Daphnia pulex: one gene and its partner. The protein of the gene in region 1 purifies or fractionates together with the protein of each later gene. This does not show direct contact. Links are inferred from orthologs where the notes say so. Each region holds a gene or a part of one and is shown on either strand. Other genes may lie near its edges. The genes, in order: ribonuclease 3-like and microprocessor complex subunit DGCR8-like.

What was found.
Region 2: the proteins of ribonuclease 3-like (region 1) and microprocessor complex subunit DGCR8-like purify together in Drosophila melanogaster (affinity purification with western blotting; 4 studies listed by BioGRID, with this or other methods). This does not show direct contact. The link is inferred for Daphnia pulex from reciprocal best matches to the Drosophila melanogaster genes drosha and pasha.

Annotation. Positions count from the first base shown.
Region 1 is NC_060020.1:4,125,795-4,130,227, reverse strand, and holds the start of ribonuclease 3-like, read left to right. Parts: upstream 1-1,344; 5' UTR 1,345-1,686; intron 1,687-1,750; coding exon 1,751-2,724; intron 2,725-2,793; coding exon 2,794-3,060; intron 3,061-3,126; coding exon 3,127-3,415; intron 3,416-3,509; coding exon 3,510-3,907; intron 3,908-3,979; coding exon 3,980-4,252; intron 4,253-4,320; coding exon 4,321-4,433.
Region 2 is NC_060024.1:13,485,098-13,489,373, forward strand, and holds the start of microprocessor complex subunit DGCR8-like, read right to left. Parts: upstream 3,087-4,276; 5' UTR 2,673-3,086; coding exon 2,396-2,672; intron 2,331-2,395; coding exon 2,211-2,330; intron 2,137-2,210; coding exon 1,994-2,136; intron 1,931-1,993; coding exon 1,668-1,930; intron 1,603-1,667; coding exon 1,318-1,602; intron 1,252-1,317; coding exon 1,136-1,251; intron 1,066-1,135; coding exon 860-1,065; intron 796-859; coding exon 692-795; intron 630-691; coding exon 473-629; intron 398-472; coding exon 203-397; intron 175-202; exon of another isoform or gene 97-174; coding exon 4-96; 3' UTR 3-3; coding exon of another isoform or gene 1-2. Other genes in the region: transport and Golgi organization protein 2 homolog, read left to right, coding at 1-2; RNA-binding protein 1-like, read left to right, coding at 3,639-3,847, 3,912-4,055.

The DNA of each region.
Region 1 (4,433 bases):
ACCCTAGGGGAAGATAAAAAATAAAGAATTCTTCTTTCAAATGTGATAAAGTGGCCACCAGTCGCCACCATCCTTTTAAAATGATTTGATATGGTTTACATGCATCTCAGTAGATTTCCTGGAAAATGGCGATGTTAACGTGAGATATTAGCAATTTCCCAGTTTGCATCACAAGAAGATTAGTGTCTAGAAATTAATTGTAGGTAATTAATGAGGTATACCATTAAGCTAATTGCTCTAGATAGAAATGACTCAAATGAGAAGTTTGGTAACAAAAAAATCAAAATGGTTTCTTTGCAAGGAGAGGTCGATTCCGACGCCATATTTCCCTTATCTTGCTGTGAACGTCGTCCTTAGCAACTTTACACAAATCCTTGTTTGCTTAAAAAGTTGGACGTTTCTAGAAAAAAAAGATACTTGCCTTCTCCCAAGCAATCAATACAACTCAGTGTGGTCGGATAAGGACCGAGAAGAGCTGGCCTTATTTTGCTTCATCACCCTCAACTTTTGATCTTGGGTTTGCAAAATCGATGGCGTGCGGCAAGTTCGTACAATACCAATAGTTTGGAGGAGAGTGTGTCCCCAATACTATCCATTCTACATACATTGAGTCTAAACAATACATGAATGATACAGCATCATCGATTGGGAGATCGACGAGAGCAAAGGACAATACATTCAGTCAATATAATCGAAACGCATGGTTCCTATTGGATCGATGTCTATTGGATCAAAGGGAAATGACGATTTTAGATAATGCTTCCGTCCGCTTCCGTCTGAGCAGAGCATGTGAAATTTGATCATCCAGTTGATGAAACTACAAGAGACACTCGCGACAGAGAATTCCAATAATCAATATGATGAAGAAATATAATATAGTTACTGTATATCAGCGATCAGTTGCAAACGCACATGAGCGCACTGATGACCAATAAGGCAATAACATATCGAATTATCAAGGGATTCCCCTAAAAAAAAACAAGTGTAATTACGACTACTATATGTTCTGGAGCGTTATAGGTAATCTTAATCTTAATTAAACGACCAACGACAAATAAGTGCAATTTGCTTGTGAGGAAATTTGGTACTATGGCGCAACCTTTTTTTTAAATAAACGAGCGTAACATAACTGACCTTTGAGTTTTCTTAGGATTTAAAATAGTATTAAAAAGAATAGCCTCACGCTCGATTGTTGATGGGTCTTTCACTCTTTCTTTCAATTTAGCTCACACAGCCTCACTGTAGTATTCAGACACACCACAAGGAGCGCTGTATGTCTGTACTCTTAGGAGTTGTGGATCAGTGTTAGGGCCTTTAATTGTATCTCAGCGAAAGTCGAGGCGGAATTTGGAGTAAGTTAACCGGCCTCATTTTCTAAATTTGTGAAACACATTTCTTGAATGTTTTTTTTTCTTTCAACGTGTGTCACCTAGTATTAACTTAACTCGGTATACAAGCTAACGGTACAAAAGCTAGAATTCAAGAAGTCCAACAGAATCAGCAATTTGTTTCGATTCTCCTATTAATCCTATTAATAATACGTCGATGTTTTAGAAATGAAGCCTGTAGAAATTCTCGCTAACTTACATCCAGCTTTTACTTTGTAAAGGTTGTCAGGGGTTGTCAGACCCAACAAACGTGACAGTCTCATTGTTGTTTGACCAACAAAACAAAAAGATTTTTAATGTGAGTTTTCAGCAATCAATGTTATTTTTTATTTGATTTTGAATGCCCTTCTTTCTTCTTATAGATGGATGGTCACAATAACCAGCAACCACCGTTTCCATTGTATTATGGATACCAATATGCTCAGCCTCAGCCCAACAATTTCCCTCATGCAATGCAATATAGTTTTCCTCCTCCCCCATTCCATGAAATGAATTTTCCACCCCCTATACCTTATGGGATATACCCACCACCACCACCACAACCATTTGCAATTGGCCCACATGCACAACAAACAAGTTACCCACCAGCAATTTCCCATTCTTTTGTGCCAAACTATCCTCCATTGAATCAGTATCCCCAGGCTGCCCCGTATCTCTCAGCCCAGCAACGTCCATCAGCTTGCAGTTCTATGCCCACAAGTAACACTCACCCACAAACTAATAAAGTTTCAGGATCATATTCAAGTCATAATTCCACATCGAAAAGACCTTTACCTATTAAATCAAGCCAAAAGCCTCACTCCAGTTCTTCATCTTCTACAAGAACAGAGTATAAGAAGTCACATCAACATTCTGCTCATGAGGATGAACCTATCACCCCACCGGACGAATATTCTAGCCTAACTCCTGAAGAAATTATTGAAAATGAGAAGAAAACATGGACTCGTTGTGCGCCTGCAGATCTGTTCTATGCTCGGGATCTGGACAATCCTAAATTGATGCGTGGCACCGACAAATTGAAAGCTACTATTGATCAATTTCGCATTAAGCTGCTAGAGCGTGGCGACAAAGCTCGTACAATGCAGCCCAAATTTGATTACCCTCCCCGTAAAACAAGGAGACACAGTACGCAGTGTGGCGGTTCTTGCAAGGATAAATCCAAAAAGACTTGCGAGTCCGATTCAAGTACTTCTGATTCTTCTTCAGAGGAGGAAGACGAAGTTGATCTAGTTCTTCAAGAACTGGAACGAAAGAAACAACATCCGTCAAGACTTCACCCTGAACTGTGGTTCAATGATCCAGGAGAAATGAATGACGGTCCTTTGTGCCGCTGCAGGTAAAGAAAACATTTCCATTTTATTTCTATTTATTTTCATAATAAAATAAAAATCTTGTTTCTCTGTAGTTTCAAAGCACGTCGGACTGGTATTCGACATGGTATCTACGCAGGAGAAAAATCGTCTATGATATGTGACCGGAATTCTAACAACGGTGACATTTTGCATCACTACCGAGTGACCATTTCCCCACCGACAAATTTTCTCTTAAAGAGACCGACCGTTATTCATCATGATGGACACGAGTTCATTTTTGAAGGTTTCTCGCTTTTGTCTCACTACCCACTAGATAAAGTGCCTACCTGCAAAGTCATTCGATTCAACATTGAATATACGTAAGTGTCCCATATTTTTCATTTCGATCCAACAGACATCATGGTAATATTTAATTTTCGGTATAGAATCGTCTACATTGAAGAAAAAGTTCCCGATAACTTTACAATTCAAGAACTTGAATTGTTTAGTCACTATCTATTCCACGAGTTACTTGAGTTGGTCGACTTTAACCTCCATGCAGCTGGAGATACGAACGGTTGTCCGCAATTTCATATCCTACCGCGTTTTGTGAGAGACTTACCTGACCACGGCAAAGAGATGTTGTCGATGAACCAAGTGCTACAGTATCTAATCCAACAGAACGTTCCAGTGATTGACGAAACAGAATTGGGTTATCAACTTAAACTACCCCAGGTACGGTTTTATACTGCCCTAGTTTTGTGTGTTGACATTTTTACATTGGTTGAAATAAATGTTCTAACTGTTTCCTATTTTTTACGGTTTCTAGCATGATTGGCAGAATATGGCTGATTTTACAAAAGGAATGATTGTCACGAAGCCAGGTTCCAAGCCGTGTTCCCTCAGGGTTGACCAGCTTGATCGCGACCAACTCCGGATGGATGTCATCAGCTACCCGGAGATTGTCCATTTTGGCATAAGGCCACCTCAACTCAGCTACGCAGGCAATCCCGAGTATCAAAAAGCATGGCGAGACTACGTTAAATTTCGCCACCTGCTAGCCAATATGCCGAAGCCGTCATTTGAAGACAAGCGCAAATTAGAGGCAAAGGAGAACAGACTCCAGGAAATGCGACTCCAGAATAATATGAAGCGCGATGTAACGGTCGCTGTTTCTAGTGAAGGATTTTACCGAACCGGAATTATGTGTGATGTCGTCCAACACGGGTAGAACAAATTCTCCACTTACTTTTTAACTCTTTATTTATATGTATTTTTATTTTTTACCTATTCCTTTAGAATGTTACTCCCAGTGCTGATTACGCACTTACGCTTCCACAAGTCACTCGATGTTCTGGAAGACAGGATCAAATATCGTTTCAAGAATCGATATTTGCTTCAATTGGCTCTTACCCATCCTTCGTATCGTGAAAATTTTGGAACTAACCCGGACCATGCCCGCAACTCTTTAACCAATTGTGGAATACGTCAGCCGGAATATGGTGATAGACGCATTCACTACATGAACACACGAAAACGAGGAATCAACACATTAATCAACATCATGTCCCGGTATGAGATGTTAACAGTTTTAAATGCTTTCCATTCATCTCTGTAACTAAATTTGATTTCGTTAACAGCCTTGGCAAGAAGCAGGAGACAGAATCTAGTATCACTCACAATGAGCGACTGGAATTCTTGGGTGATGCTGTAGTTGAGTTTTTGGCTTCCATCCATCTGTATCACATGTTTC
Region 2 (4,276 bases), on another chromosome or scaffold:
GACTTAGAGATCGACATTATTTAGATCGGCGCCTGAGGTTGAAGGCATGCCAACATCATCCGGTGGAATGAAACGGCCAATCGGCTGCACTGCTTCCTATAAACAGAAAACTTCAATGAAAAAGTGCCATGTATCCAATAAATTTAATGTAAATAAATTTTCTGTTCCAACAAATATCCCTATCACAGCTGCCGTTGCGTACCCTCATCTGTCGTAACTTCAACATTTCTTGTCTAAGCTTGTTCAGAATGGCGTAATTGGGCGCGTTGACAGCTGCTTTGCTTTGGAGTAGAGTGATTTGCTGTTCTTCTTGTTTCTTCTCTTTTACTGTTTTAAGCGAATGTGAACCATAAAGACGAAGCAATGAACCCCAACTAGAAATGTGAGGATGCAGCGCCTTCTCCCAGATGAAGAAAAACAAATCGCAAAATTTAAAAATCTGAAACTGATGTTCAAGTTGATTACAATTCACCTGCAATATGGCCTGGGCTGCTCTTTGCTTTCCATCTCTTTTATTCTTGCATGGTACTTGAACTGTATGCTTTCCAACCGTCATTATTACTTCGTTTTTCTGATGTTTCAATGTTTTGAGCTCGTACTTGACGTTCTTATCGCCTAAACCAAAGTTTCTGCAACATTCATAATTATTGAAAATCGTTCAATACGCTAAAGAGAAAAACTGTTGAATCACCTTTGAAGGCATGTGAGGAGGATTGCGTAAGGGGATGGTTCGCTCGTTTTTGCACACAGTTCGGCAACGCGAGGGTCTTCTATTCGAATTTCGTTGAAAAACTGCTTTACAATAAACGGTAAGTAACACCATTCAATGCATCTAATAGCAAAATTAAATGCAACGTACGGATAGATCTAAGTCAGACTGATGATTTGGTCCCTTGTGACCTGGTTCCGCCTCGTCCAATATTTTTTCCTTCATCTGTGGAATAAGAACTTCTAGTGTCGCTTTCGCTGCTTCCGCCTTGGCGGCTTTCTTACTCGAACCGACCCCAGTACCGTACTGCATTCCATTAATCAATACCGTAGCACTATAAGGCGTTGCTGCATTCTCTGTCGAACAAAAATTACCCGATAAAACAATGAAAACAAAAATCGTTGCATTATGGGCAGTCGAATATACCAATTTCTTTAAATGTATAGGCAGGTTGCTTCTTAAGGGCATGTTGAACGTATTCATGGAGGATGCAAACGTAACTTTTCCCTGCCGGATTCATAATCCATTCCCGTCGCGATCCACTGTGAGATTTACAAACAAGAAATTGTTATCACAATTGAAGCCTTCAATATATAATGTTTACTTACCCATTAGCTCCACCAGCAGCACCTTGTCCTTCGCTTTGGGAGGTCGGATCGTTGTGTGTTGCCGGAATGGAATGTCCGATAGGGAAGGTTATAAGTTTGGTCCCTTTAGGTAAAGTTGGTCGACCCAGTTCAGCCGTCTGTGACAATTTAGCATCGTCATCCTCAACAGGGCTTTGGCTTGAGCCAATCACTTGTTTCTTATCCTCATTCAAGGAAAGACCAGATTGGGGGTAAATCTGTCGTTGTTTCCGCAGTTTGGTGTGCTTTCTCCTAGCTGCCCATGTTCTGTATGAATTTTTTAACGATGAATGAATGAGTAGGTATTAATAAGATTTAAGCAAATTACTCACTTAAATCGCATAAGGCGGACGGTTTTAAAATCAAATCGTTTGGAGCAGTATTCGCGCAGCTGAACTCCATTGAGAGAATGTGCTGCCTGATTCTCTTGGACTGATTCGATCCGAGCACAGGGGATATCAGGGGCAACATGAGCAGTACCATCTGCTGCAGTGTTAGCTGAGGCCTCTAATAGCTCTTCGGATTTCTGTTCTTCTTTCTCCTTGGCTCTTTGGTAATGTAGGCAAGGTACGGCGCTAATTGGCACTGCATGTTTCTAAAGATCGGAACTCGGGAGTTTAAATAGAAACAAAAAAGTAATGTTTAATTTAAAAATTACTCTGGCACTTCCAGGTCCAAGGAAGTAAGGCTTAGCAAGGGTGCAAACCCGTGTAGGTTTGTGAAGGTAGATAGGCATTCCACTGTTGTGTGTAACTTGGACCCAATTTTCAGGCAAAACTTCGAAATGGTTCTTACCCTTTTCTTAAAAACACAAAATAAAAATTAAAAAACTTTTTTAAATTAAATGTTTTTAAGGAATAACCTGAAAGTGTTACCTTCAAGAACAATTTTTTCTTTTTCTTCATATGCCATACTTGCATCCCCATTACCAGATGGCTTGGAAGAACCATCTGATTTTTTGAACTTTTTCCTAGATTTCATTTCTTCTGGTAAACCTTAAAAGTTACAAGTTACAGGTAAAAAATATCCACAACAAATGTCATATAGTTTGTAAAGTTACCTTCTTCCAACATAGCATCAATTTCATCTTGTTGTATATCAAAATCTTCTTCACTGTCTGCTTCATTGGAACTGCTGAAATCACTCTCTGAATTTTCCTTACACTCATCGTCATCATTAGCGTTGCTTTCAACTATTTCATCTAATACATGAAACTCTCTCATATTACTGAAATCTTTGTACAGTCCATCTGCGTCATCTTCTTCGGGATCAATATCATCCACTAGTTGAGAACCTTCCAAAATATCTTTCATCTCTTCCATTTCAAATTCTGTCATGCACAGAGTAGAAACCAAACTTAAGATAAGGTGTGGAATTGGAAATCCACAAATAAAGTTAACTGGTCTTAATATCTATGAATTACAATGTGTAAATGGAAGAATGAGCATCTACATCATAGGCCTTGTCTTCTGAGAAAATCAAAATCGAACACACATCAATAGCATTCGGGAAGATTTTCCTCAAACTTGGCAAAGCAATGATATAGTGCTATCGTATTTCGACGTGACGGATGAAGAACCGCTTTTATTTGTATATAATTGGATTTATATTAGCAACTATAGTTTTAAAGTAGAATGCCAATATTAGTTCAAAACTTCAAATCAAAATAATAATTTGATTCAATAGAATCGTCAAAGGATGAATAACTCGAGTTTGTTTGTAAAAGATTTCTAAAAAAATATGGCTTAGCAGACGAACTTTTTTCGAAAATCAATCTGTTGTTGCCTCGTCTACAACGCCATCTAAAGACGATCTAATTGTAATAAAAAATTCTAATATAAATCTGATAAAAATATCCTTGATTAAAAATTGCACAATATTCCAAATACAAACTTAAAATCATACTTTTTTGTCTTTTGCAAAAATGTTTTTGTTGATTTTGTTGCCGCATGGCAGCGCTGATTTTCCATTTTGTTGACAGCTTTATGACGTAGTCAGTTTTCACTCCGCTTCAGGTTACTCTTAATCTAGCATCTCGTTGAAAACGATACTGAAACCAAATTTGCTAAAGAAAATACATTCAAAATTCCGGAACAAGAAAGGTAGTCACAACATTCTTCTTTATTGTTGTTTGTTAGTTCATTTTTGTGTATGCAATTGTTTTTCTGTGCATTTCATTAGAGATGCTTTTTATGTTTTTGGTGATGCCTTTGGTCGGGCTAGCCAAGCAAGATGGCGGTTAATCGAGCATAGTTATTTTCAAACCCAGATTTCAACATCAAAATTTTCATTTCCTCTTTAGAATGTCGCGTCATCGTGAATGGGATTTGAAATGCAAAGTCTATGTTGGCAATCTGGGCAATAACACAGCCAGAGGTGACTTGGAAGCTTCATTCAGCAAATATGGAGCCTTGAAAAATGTTTGGGTTGCCCGAAATCCCCCTGGCTTTGCATTTGTTGAGTATGAGGATCCCAGAGATGCTGAAGATGCAGTTAGAGCCATGGATGGATCGTAAGAAACCAAATTACATACAATGGTAATTAATTATGTAAAATTAATTATTGACTTCTCGTAGGAGGATTTGTGGTTCTCGTGTGAGGGTGGAGATGTCTTCTGGCAGAGCCAGAGAGAGGAATGGACCCAGAGGAGGAGGTGGTGGTGGTGATCGCGGAGGTGATCGCCGCGGAGGGCCCCGTGGCGGTGCCGATTTCCGCGGAAGGTACGGTTAAAAATAATAAATTCTAACTTTTTTTTTTTACTTTTGAATTTCAATCAAATTGATTATTAAATATCAAATTTTATATATATATATATCGGAGCTGCTTATTTAAATCAAAACCTATTGCTTTCACAGGATTTTTTCATTTGATTTACTACCCCACTACCCCATCCATACAGCCGTAGTATTTGGTTGAAAAAAAAAAAAAAAAATAACATACC